Diceros bicornis minor: one gene and its partners. The protein of the gene in region 2 purifies or fractionates together with the protein of the main gene of each other region. This does not show direct contact. Links are inferred from orthologs where the notes say so. Each region holds a gene or a part of one and is shown on either strand. Other genes may lie near its edges. The genes, in order: DOCK5, CRK and NEDD9.

Region 1 (3,747 bases), on a different chromosome or scaffold from region 2:
CGTGGATGTGCCAGGTCCCCTTCTCCGCAGGGATGCTGGTCTGTTGGAAGCGGGACGTCTTGGGGCGGACTTTTCCCTTGAGCATGAAGGTTTGAATTGCTTCAGCCAGGGACTCCTCCGGGTGTTTTGGGGATACAGGATTTCCAAGTTAGAATAATTTTTTCCCACAGAGGCTCTGCTAGGAAAGTATTTGATACTTCTGAGGAGGCCGTCTCCCCTGCATCAGTTCTCTATTTACCAGAAGACAAATGCGCCTGCTTTGAAGGCGATAAACGGTGGCCACAGGAGATCATGTCTGCCCCGGAGTCCGGCTTCCGGCTCTCACGGTGTCAGTTAAAGCTCTAGAGAGTGAACGCAGGAGTCAACTGCTCATTCATTCAGCAAATATTTACGGAGCGCCCGCTGAGTGCCAGGCACTGGGGGTGCCCCGGGGGCGAGAAGCAACTCATCAACTCATACTAGTTCCCACAGGAGCTGCGGCGCGCGCAGTGGGAGCCGACCCCGCACCCCGCGCCCACCCGCTGCCGGGCCGCCCAGCCTGGGTGTGCCCAGCGCCTCCGGCGCAGCCCTCGGGCCGCCCGCGGGGGGAACCCGCCCCACGGGATCCAGTCTCGGGGGTTTAATCCGGGTGGGGAAAAAGCAAAACACAAGGAAAAAACCGTACCCCAGTCTGCACTGGGAAGCTGCTCCTGGGAAGCGCGCAAGGCGGGGCCCGCGCCCGCCCGGGCCGGCGAGAGCGCGGAGCGCCGGAGCGGGCGGGAGGCCGGGCGCCCGCGGGTCGGGCGCGGAGGCGGCCCCGGCGGGCGGAGGGCGCGGCCGGCGGGAGGGGCCGGGGCGGCGCCGGGAGGGGCGCGCACAGCGGCGCGGCCGCCCGGCCCAGCAGGTGACCGCGGGCCGAGGCCGGGGCCGGAGCGGATCCCGTGCGGACGCGGGCGGCGCGGCGGGGCGCCGGCTCGCGGGGTCGGGCGAAGTTTGCCGGAACATGGCGGAGGAGCCCGGGGCGCGCAGGAGCGCGGCGCGGCGGCGGCCGGCGCCCCAGGAGCTGTAGCCGCTGCAGCCGCCGCCGCCGCGGGCTGAGGTGGCCGCCATGGCCCGCTGGATCCCGACCAAGAGGCAGAAGTACGGGGTTGGTGAGTGCTCGCCCCACCCCGCCCCCGACCCGGCCGCCGGGAACTTCGCGGGAGCCGCCCTGCCTTGCGCAAAGTTGGGCGGCGGACGCCGGGCCACTCGGCGCGCGCGCTGCCCGAGGCGGGGGTTCGGCTCCCGCTGCAGCAGTTCTGGGGGCGGGTGGGAGTCGGAGTCCTTTCCTGGAGCCCCGTGGGGGAAGTCATTCTGAGTTTGGGAAATCCGAGTGGCTAGAAGTGCAGCTGGGCTCCGGGACAGGTAATCCTCCCGAATCCAAAGCTCCAGCACTTTGCATAGGAGAAACGTCAAAAGCGACGGTGCTCGCCTCTTATGCATTTGGGGCACCCAACTCTGGTGCTCGCCTCCCTCCTCCCCATCCGTATGGTTTCATTCAGTAGTTTGTAGCCAGCCCAGGTCGGAGGAATGCCAGTGGTGTTCGCTGCCCCAGTGCTTTCTGCTTTCCCTCTTCTTAGGTTGTCTCTGAAGCCCCGAGTGAGGAGTTGGGGGTAGAAAGCCGCCCTCCGCCCCCTCGTTTCCTCCCAGGGCCTGGGATCCAGATAACAGTTGTAAACTGAATGGGAGACTAAAGTTGTGGTGGGGAGGTGATGGAAGAGACAGGAAGTGTGTGGCATGGGAACGAGGGTGGCTGCCCCTGGGGCCGATGGGGCAGACGCTCATCTCCTAACGGAGCGTATATGGAGAGGGGTGAGGACTGCCTTCTGAATCCCGAGTTTCGTCGTGGGATAAGACGAGGGCATTTTATTAAGAACACTGTGACAGATCCCGCGCCCGGCACTTCGCATTCGTAACAGCGGTGCTAGAGAGTCCCTGTCGTGCGGAGGGATTACAGTGCTGTTGGTTTGGCCCCGGAACGGTGGCTGTGTGGGGTTTTGACCCAGGTGAAAAGCCGTGGTCCTTCTTCCTACCAAGGAGTGAGGTTGCTGAAATGTGGGAACGCTGCTGTTCGCGGGGCGATTACAGTGGCAGTTCGACTTCGGAGCGATTCCCTGGTGTAAACGCAGTTGTGTGTGTTGAGAATTTTATCACTTCCTCTTAGGTTCATTCATTTGGCCTGTTTGTAACTTAATCTTTCACTTCCCTCCCTGCCCCGCCCCCATTTCTCCTCACCTCTCTGGTTACTAGGGAGGGAACCGTCCCAGCACCTGTTCTGAGCTTTCTGACGGCGAGGTCAGTTTCACGGATACTCAACGTCCCTGGTGCTCTTCAACTCTGTAGCCCCGAGTCAGTTAAAGAAACAAACTCTCTCATATTTACTATATTACTCTTAGATTGAGATCCTTTATATATATGTTTGTGTGTATGTAATTAGATATATAATTGCTTGTTTTCCCTCTATTCCAAAAACTTTTTTCCCCTTAAATTTCTGTTAGAATCCTTGCACTCTGGTATGGCTACAACTCAGAAACAGGTAGGTGGTGTTTCTCCTGCCCCAGACCACCCCGTCATGATTTGGTCATGACGCTTCAGACGGGGACTCCTACTCAGGTGCCAGTCAGTAAGTAGCCAGTGGTTTTGGAAGTGAAATGCTCTAAAATAGATGGACTCAATTTCTTTATTTTTGAATGTTATCTAGTATTTACTAAATTAAAGCGTGTTTAGCAACGCCTAATCATTAATTACTACTTTAAGAAAGTTATCAATTCTGATTTTGTTTAAGAGGATAAAAGCTATTTCCAAAACCAGTATGACTTCAGTGTAGGTGATGCAAACAGATCTCCCAAATGTGGTTTTTATTGCCATAGTCATAGAAGCAAGTATGATATGTTCTCTTTTTGATTTTTTTTTTTTTCCTGTTCTGGAGTCAGGTTACCATGTTTTTTATCTTCCATCAAGAAAAGTATTTGAATTGCATTTCCAGGGCATAGGTGCTAGCAAAATTGCCCCAGGATATAATTTTGGACACTTGTTTCATTAGACACAATATATTCTGCTTAATCTGGATTTGACAGAAGGACCACTGTTAGCACAGATTAGCTGATGAGATATATCTCCATTGTTTATTGCTAAAACACATTGTTGTTCATATCACCTCCCTGATTTGAAGCCTTCCTTGGCCTGCAGGGTAAGATGTAACTGAGCCCAACTTTCAAGATTCCCATAATCTGGTTCAAAGTGTCCTCACCAACCAACCTTATCTCCTGGCTTCTTTCATTTACCGCCCCCCCCCGCAGATACTGCTCTTCTAGCTCTTGTGCAATAGGCCACAGGCCTGGAGAGTCCCTCCTCTGGGACTTTGCTCCCTTGTTCTTGCTCCCTGTCAGAGTGCCCGCCCACCTCTGCATCCCACAGTCCAGCTCGGGACAGTCCTCGGGGCTCAGATCCACTGCCAGTGCCTCCTTCAGGTTTGGTGTTCACCAGACCTCCCCAGGCATTCCCGCCTCTTCCTCACAATGCCTGCAGTGTGCCTACCTTATTTCATTGCTTCTCCTCGTATCCTCGGGTTCAGCTTATGGTTTTGTATCCCTGTCACTCACCGGGTGTAGCAGGTATAGAGCCTGCCTTCAGTAGTCATTGCATGTCCTTGGAGTTGGGGTAGCATTCTAGCTCTGACCTAATTTCTGTGACGATTTAATGCAGGGTTATTTTGTTTGTTTGTTTTTT
Region 2 (3,747 bases):
TAACACCCGCGCCAATCTTCCTCTATTTTTTGTATGTGAGATGCCTCCACAGCATGGCTGATGAGTGGAGTATGTCCATGCCCAGGATCTGAACCCGCGAACCTGGGGCTGCCGAAGCAGAGTGTATGGAACTTTAACCACTAGGCCACGAGGCTGGTCCTAAACCGAGAGTTTTAACATCTGGAGACTGTTAAAAGTTTTACACAGGGTAGCCACAGACTCAGAGTTGTAATTTAGAAAGTTCACACTGGCAGATGTGCAATGCAATTAGGGGCAGCAAGACTATAGAGCACCAGTGAGCAGGTTGTTCACAGGAATACAGATATAGGTATGGGATACAGAGATAGAGATGATTATGATGGCAAGGAGTGTAGAGCACACCCATGGCCACAATTACGGTTTAGAAGAATCTGGGCAGATGACTTGAGAGCCTCAGTAGAGCCTCCATACTTCTGGCTTGGCATACTCTGTTCCCTTTGTCTTGAATGCCCTTCCCCACTTGCCGTTCAACATTCAGCTCAAGCCACCTCCTGTGGGAAGCCCTCTTGGATCGCTCTACAGGCTGGATTAGGGGGCCCTGCTCTGTGTTCCTGGAGTCCCTAGTCCGTTCCCTGTCATAGCACTTGGCATTCCTTTGTCTTTGGCTGTTTCCTGGTTCCTCCCACTGGTCTGAGAAGGCGGTGAGGGAAGGATCCAGCCTTGATCACCTTTGCACCCGCAGGGCAAATGTGGTGTCAGTAACTGTTTGCTGAATGAATCAATGAAAACAAGAACTTGAGCCGGCCTGGGGAGAAGCTGGAGGAATCATCAGAAAAAAGACCGTCTCAGGGAGCTCGGGCCCTGAGGCCATGTCATCTTTGCTACTCTAATTCTGTGTCGGAGTCGCTGCCTAGAAGTTCTGGGCCTTCCAGGATCTCGAAGCCTGGCGGAGCTAAGAACCGCGTGGGCAACCGGGCGAATACAAACCTCCGCGGACTGCCGGCTGAGGCCCCGCCTCTCGGCCCTGGACTCCACCTCTCCATCCTCTGCAGTCCCAGTCCCTGCCAGGCGGCGACGCCCATGAGGCCGCATGCGCAGTGAGAAAGCAAGCGGTCCCTCGCCCTTCTCCCAATGGCGGGCGGCGGTCCCCTTCCCGGCGTCCTCCCGGGGGCAGGGAGCGCGTCATTTCCGGTGGGGAAGGCCCGCGGCCGCCGCCGCCATTTCGGGCGCTGCTGTGAGGCTGAGAGCGGAGCCGGTCCGCTGGGCGGCGGGCGCCGGGGCTGGAGGGGCGCGCGGGGCGGCGGCGGCCCAACGTGTAGGCGCGGAGGCGGCCATGGCGGGCAACTTCGACTCAGAGGAGCGGAGTAGCTGGTACTGGGGACGGTTGAGCCGGCAGGAGGCGGTGGCGCTGTTGCAGGGCCAGCGGCACGGGGTGTTCCTGGTGCGGGACTCGAGCACCAGCCCCGGGGACTATGTGCTCAGCGTCTCGGAGAACTCGCGCGTCTCCCACTACATCATTAACAGCAGCGGCCCGCGCCCACCGGTGCCGCCGTCGCCCGCCCAGCCTCCGCCCGGTGAGGGACGGACGGGACGGGAGGCCCCGGGCGGGGGTGAGGGCCGCGGAACTCCCCAGCCTGGCCGGCTGCTCCTCGCGAGCTGACCCTCACGAGGGACGTGGGCAGAGGGCTGGAGTGACCATGGCAGGGGGCAGCCTGCTGCCGGGGCTCATTCCCACCGACGAGCGGGAGTGCGTGGGGGAGGAGGAGCCGCTGACCCAGGCCTTCTCTGGGTGTGACTTGGGAGGACAGCCCAGGGGAAGGGGAACTGCCTCGGTCCCAGGGTGGGGCTAGCGCCTGGGCCAGGCACAAGGGCAGAGCCGGGCAACGTGGGGACAAAGAACTGAGGGGGATGTTGGCACTGCGGGGGCATCGCTTGGCAGCGGTGCCCAGAATGAGTCCGATAATCTTGCAAGTGGCTTTTTAGGCTTGAAACATTTCCTGCAGTGTTGGAGAGCCGGGTTTGGCTATACTCCCCTGGTGGCCTTTGGTAGGAAGTCACCACATACTGGCCCGGAGGGATGGAGACACCTTCAGGAAACCGGTCAGCTTTTTCCTTTCTTGGGCATTTTTCCAAAATACTTTTACCGTCCTCTTCCCCCGCGGAGGACGAAGGTGGTGAGCTGAGTGCCTTGGTGATAGAAGAAAGCCCTCCACGACCAGCCCACAGTAAGGTGACGCCCAGCTGACCGTGTCACAGAGATTTTAGTGTCCAGAGACTGTCCTCCACAATTAGGGGGTTGTAGTTTTCAGAGTGTTTAACGGAGGAAAGATTTTTTTCAGGAAATAAACCAGAAATAAGGCAGTGGAAACAATCCCTTCCCTGGCAGGGAATGGAACTTCATTTTTCCTTGGACTTAAACATTGTCAGTCTTCTACTTTAGGGCGTCTCCGTGCTCAGTAAGTTGGGGCTGTGGCCTGAGTCTTGCTAGGTATTGGGAACAGACCCCACCAAGCTGATTCTCTGAGAATTTAAATTATCTGCACTGGATGTTTCTTGCCAAGCATCATTGAGGTATGACTCTCTTACCCATGCCGTTGGAGGTGTTTGGGAAATGTTAAGGAGATTTTTGCACATAGTACTTGAGATTTGTGAGGGACACGGTAATTCTGAGGTTGTCGTTACCTGTCTAACAGCACAGGAGTTCTGGTGTCTTCTCACTGTTCCCGGGTTGAAGCAGTTTCCTCCTCACCAGCCCAGTCTAGATCCAAGCCAATCTCGTGTGAATTAGGAGGCTTCTGAGCCAGCCTTTGCAGACATGCCCTTTTAGCATAGTCCTAATTTAGGTTTATTCACTCTGGCCAGAAATGGGGGGACAGGATAATCAGTCTCTTTGTTGTTAACCCTTGCCAATTTTTAAAAAGAATGTGGGATCTTTAGTCCACAAATTGTCCTAGGTCTTTCTCAGTCTGGTAGGTTTAATAGCATTATGACAGGAGATGATAATATTGATGTAACATATATTTGCCCTAAACCAGATATTTTCTGCTGTTTACAACCTGCACAGTATCTAGGGTTTTGCATTATAGTTTAGTGACATGATGGCAAACTGTCACCGAAGCTCAGTTCTCAACCTTCTGTATGTGTATGTGTTCTGTTGGTTGCAAAATTTGGAAATGGCAGTAGGCAGGTTTGTTTGAGCTTTCTCCACATGTTGGCATTATGACTTTATATCGCAGCACTTACTTTGGTATTGAGCTCCACCTTTTCATAGCAGATATGAGTTCAGATCCTTGGCCCAAGAGAGAAGGTGAAGATTGCCAAAGTTTGTGGATGGGGTGTGGAAAGTTCATGGGCATTGTGGTAATTCTTTGTGCTGTGTACCCTATTTTTCACATAGGATCCAGTTGCTGTCTTTATCAAGATAACTTAATCTTTATTCTACCCCTCCTACATGAAGCTCTTTTCCTTTTGAAATCACACAGAGGACTTTCTTGAATTTTAGAAAGGCATATACAATATTAATAGCTAACATTTATTGACTGGTTATTCTGTGCCAGGTACTTTGCTGAGTGCTTTATGTGCCTTATCTCATTTACTGTCTGTAACAATCTAGTGAGGAAAGTACTATGATCTCCATTTATTAAAATATTTCCATTTTATAGATGAGGAAAGTGAGAGAGATTCAGTAACTTGCCCAAGGTCACACAACTAGTAAATGACAGAGCCAGAATTTGAACCTAGGAATTCTGACCTGAGTGCTGACACTGT
Region 3 (3,747 bases), on a different chromosome or scaffold from region 2:
CTCTGCTCTGAGCTCTATCCAGATGTTGATCAATGACAACTGCCTGGCTAATGTCTGCCTTTGCATGTCTGCTAGGCCTTCCAAAATCATCAGCTCCAGAACTGAACTAACCCTGGGCCTGGTCTCCACCAGCGTTTCCAGTCTCTGTGACCAGCAAGCAGCATCAATATCCATTTGGATGCCGAAACCAGGAAACAGGATCATCTTTGACACTTCCCCCTCGTTTTCCTTTCCTGTCCACCACCAAGTCCTGTTGATTTTCCTTTCTAAATGGCTCTTTAATTTGTCTAATTCTATCTCCACTCCTACCACCCTTGTCTTGTCTGTACTCCCACAGACATCCTTGCCTGGCTGACTTCATCAACCTAACTAGTCTCCCTGTCTGTAGGCGTGCCTCCTCCCATCCATTCTCCACATTGTATCAAAAGGGATTCCTTAACATGAAAGGGGTAATAGGGCATGTGTGTACAGCGGTAATTAGTCTTTGGGTGGTGAACATGACGTAGTCTACACAGAAATTGAAATATAATGATGTATATCTGAAATTTATATAATGTTATAAACCAATGTTACCTCAATAAAAAAAAAAATGCAGATCAGTTCACAACACCCCTACCTTCTCCAACACTTTTAGAATAAGCAGCATCTTTAACCTGGTCCCTCAGGCTCACCTTGAGCCACCCCCCTCTTCCCTCTGGCCATACTGGCTATAATTTTGCAGGACAATTCTGTGGCCTTCCACCTCGGGGTGTGGTATAGGCTGTTCCCTTTGCCTTGTGAACTCCTACACCTCTTTCAGTTCTCATATCTGCCTTCCTTATGGAAACCTCCCTGACTCCCAGATGAGATCAGGTTCCCCCGCGACACGTTCTGGTCCTCATCATATTTATGTAATCATTAACGTCTGCCTCTCCCTTCAACCGTAAGCTTTTTGGGGGCAGGGCAACGTCAGTTTTGCTCCATCTTATGTAAGTTTTGACTTAAAAGTGGCTGCCACGCAGTGAATACTCACTAGATAGTTGTTAAATAAATGAACTAATTAATGAGAAATGGTGGAGCTCTAACTCAAAACTGATTTCATATTCTTTCCTTTCCACAGCTCCACTTTGCCCCGTTCTTAGAACAGGAATGTCCTTGAAAATAACCCAACTCAGGAGGAAACAGAAACAAGGAGGAAAACCGCTTGGCTGGTTCCCAGGGTTCTGTCAAGGACAATTGCTCTTCACACCCACTTCTGGATGGGAAACTAGCTTCCCCACTAAGGGAAAGGACAGGCTCCTCAAGCAGGAGTTAAAAAGCCTGGGGCACCCACTCTCCCCTCTCATCACCAGCACAGGGAAAAGCCTGCTCGCCCATCTCCACCAGCTTTAAACAACAGAAAACCCTTTTAGAATGACTCTCCCTCTTTCAAGTTGTATGTGTTCTTCATTTTGAAGTAATTTCAGCAAGATAAAAGAGTTGCCTCAAATCCCTTGTGGGAAAAAGGCAATTGAATGAATGAATGAGTTAAACGAATTAATAAATATAGAGAAAAGGAAGGATGGAGCTGTTGCGGTGGCCCAATGTGGACAGGCAGAGCACAGTGTAATCTGTCCCCAGCCCCTTAGAGATGATGCTAATGACCAGCTCTCTGCAGAGCTGGGACACACACTGAAGCCAGTTCTCAATCGCTGCTTCTTGCCCCTCAGGAGTCATTCCCAGAGTGGCTGAAAATGATATTATCAATGACTCTAATCTACCATCAAGTGTGAGTGGCAGCCCACACTTTAAAGTACTGAAAGAGTTGAGGAGAGTAAAAGCTCAGCTTAGCACAGGAGAACTCTCTGATGATGGTAGGAATTGGGGAGGAGCCTCTACTCTACACACCAGGAAGCACTACCCAGGATGATTTTAAAAATAGAATCAGAGGCCAGTCCCCTGGCTTAGCGGTTAAGTGCATGTGCTCCGCTACTGGCGGCCCGGGGTCGGATCCCGGGCGCACATCAACGCACCGCTTCTCCGGCCATGCTGAGGCTGCGTCCCACATACAGCAACTGGAAGGATGTGTAACTATGACATACAACTATCTATTGGGGTTTTGGGGGGAAAAAAAAAGGAGGAGGATTGGCAACAGATGTTAGCTCAGAGCCGGTCTTCCTCAGCAAAAAGAGGAGGATTAGCACGGATGTTAGCTCAGGGCTGATCTTCCTCACAAAAAAAAAAAAAAAAAAATAGAATCAGGTAGGTTTTAAGTTGCCTTAAAGCCAGTACCTCCAGGTTAACTTGAATGAGGTCTAGAGCCATCCTTCCTCCTTTGGGGCATGTTAAGTCCCTCCCAGCTTCGGTTAAGGGGTGTTAACAGTGGGGAATACCACCAGATGTCTGACACCAACTCAGGAAGTCCGAGTCTGAGTGAGTCTCCCCTGTTCCTCCCCTCAGGCCACAGCAAGTGTCTGAGAACTCACCCAGGGCAGCACCACTGTTGGTGGATCATCTGGTATCCCTGGCGTTCTTGCCCTCTCTCCGAGTGGGCAGGCAGGAGGTGGCAGCTCAGTCCTGCCCCACGATTAGGCTTCTTTCCTGCTGCAGTCTCCGGGCTTGCTTCTAAAGGCAGCTGTAAGCATTTCCCCACTGAGCAACCACACGTAGAATGTGAGAGGCGTAGGTATGTGTGTGTTTTTCCTTCCGGTTGCTCTGAAGTGATGTTGTCTCAGTTCATTTCCTCTCTGTGTTCTCTGTCAGACCTCCTGACACACTGCGGATATCTGCAGTTTAGGGGCAGGTAAGAAATATAGTTCTACTCTGCACCATTTCCTAATTTGAGAAAGATAGGTGATCTGCACATTATTATTGCAATGAAATTCTGTGCAATGTACTTCCTTAGTGGTTTAAGCTCCTTTCTAGGCTGCATTGAGGCAAAAATTTAGGCTATTTTAGGCCAACCAAGTCAGGATTTTGTGGTTTTATGGACTCAATATGTTCCAAAGAGTTTCACTGTAAATTGACATGAAACATTCTTTCATTTGACAAGTATTTATTGAGCCTGTACTGTGACAAGCGCCCTGCTAGGGGGTAACTACCCACGTGGAAAATTCCTGTGTACAATGTGGTGTGGAAGCTCAGATTTGAGTATGTGGAAGGGAACTAGAAAGTTACTTAGCCTCACAGCCCTAGTCTTCTTCTAGCTGTGCTTTTGAGTAGCAAACAAGTGGATATACTCTGAGGCCAATACCCAGGTGTGAATTATGGCTCTACCTTTCAAATAAATGCTTTTGATCTTTCTGTGCCTCAGCTTCCTCATCTGTAAAATGGGAATAACCATAGGATTATTGTGAGAATTAAGTGAGTTAGTGTATGAAAACACCCAGAGAGTGCCTGGGACAAATAAATAAGCAGTATACAAGAGTTTGCTATTATTATTAGTGGCAAATTATGCTATTATAAGCTCAATCATTTCCTTTTTTCCTTCTTTTCTCCACTTCTCACCTCGTGCCTAGGAAATGACTGGGGGACATAGAGGGTTGAAGAGAGGGGAGATAGTTTGAATAGGTGATACTCCCCAAATGATCCAGTGGTGCTTGATGCTTCTGCTCCATCACCAAGACAAGGAAAGGACTGTTGTTGGCCCCCTCTCGTCTTCACACTCTGCTCATGTTGTGTGTTGCACTCTCGTGACTTTTGCTGTTTTGTTTTAATTTCCCATAACACTTCTCTGAAATTCAGATCCATGTCATTTATTTTTAAATGTTGAGCTGGCCTGAATCATAT

The links.
Region 1: the proteins of CRK (region 2) and DOCK5 purify together in Homo sapiens (affinity purification with mass spectrometry; 3 studies listed by BioGRID and IntAct, with this or other methods). This does not show direct contact. The link is inferred for Diceros bicornis minor from reciprocal best matches to the Homo sapiens genes CRK and DOCK5.
Region 3: the proteins of CRK (region 2) and NEDD9 purify together in Homo sapiens (affinity purification with western blotting; 3 studies listed by BioGRID). This does not show direct contact. The link is inferred for Diceros bicornis minor from reciprocal best matches to the Homo sapiens genes CRK and NEDD9.

The regions. Positions count from the first base shown.
Region 1 is NC_080750.1:68,673,421-68,677,167, reverse strand, and holds the start of DOCK5 (dedicator of cytokinesis protein 5), read left to right. Parts: upstream 1-912; 5' UTR 913-1,087; coding exon 1,088-1,130; intron 1,131-3,747. UniProt on the Homo sapiens protein: Guanine nucleotide exchange factor (GEF) for Rho and Rac. GEF proteins activate small GTPases by exchanging bound GDP for free GTP. Along with DOCK1, mediates CRK/CRKL regulation of epithelial and endothelial cell spreading and migration on type IV collagen.
Region 2 is NC_080757.1:16,260,316-16,264,062, forward strand, and holds the start of CRK (adapter molecule crk), read left to right. Parts: upstream 1-1,216; 5' UTR 1,217-1,312; coding exon 1,313-1,553; intron 1,554-3,747. UniProt on the Homo sapiens protein: Involved in cell branching and adhesion mediated by BCAR1-CRK-RAPGEF1 signaling and activation of RAP1.
Region 3 is NC_080753.1:55,284,654-55,288,400, reverse strand, and holds the start of NEDD9 (enhancer of filamentation 1), read right to left. Parts: upstream 2,616-3,747; 5' UTR 2,445-2,615; intron 1-2,444. UniProt on the Homo sapiens protein: Scaffolding protein which plays a central coordinating role for tyrosine-kinase-based signaling related to cell adhesion. As a focal adhesion protein, plays a role in embryonic fibroblast migration.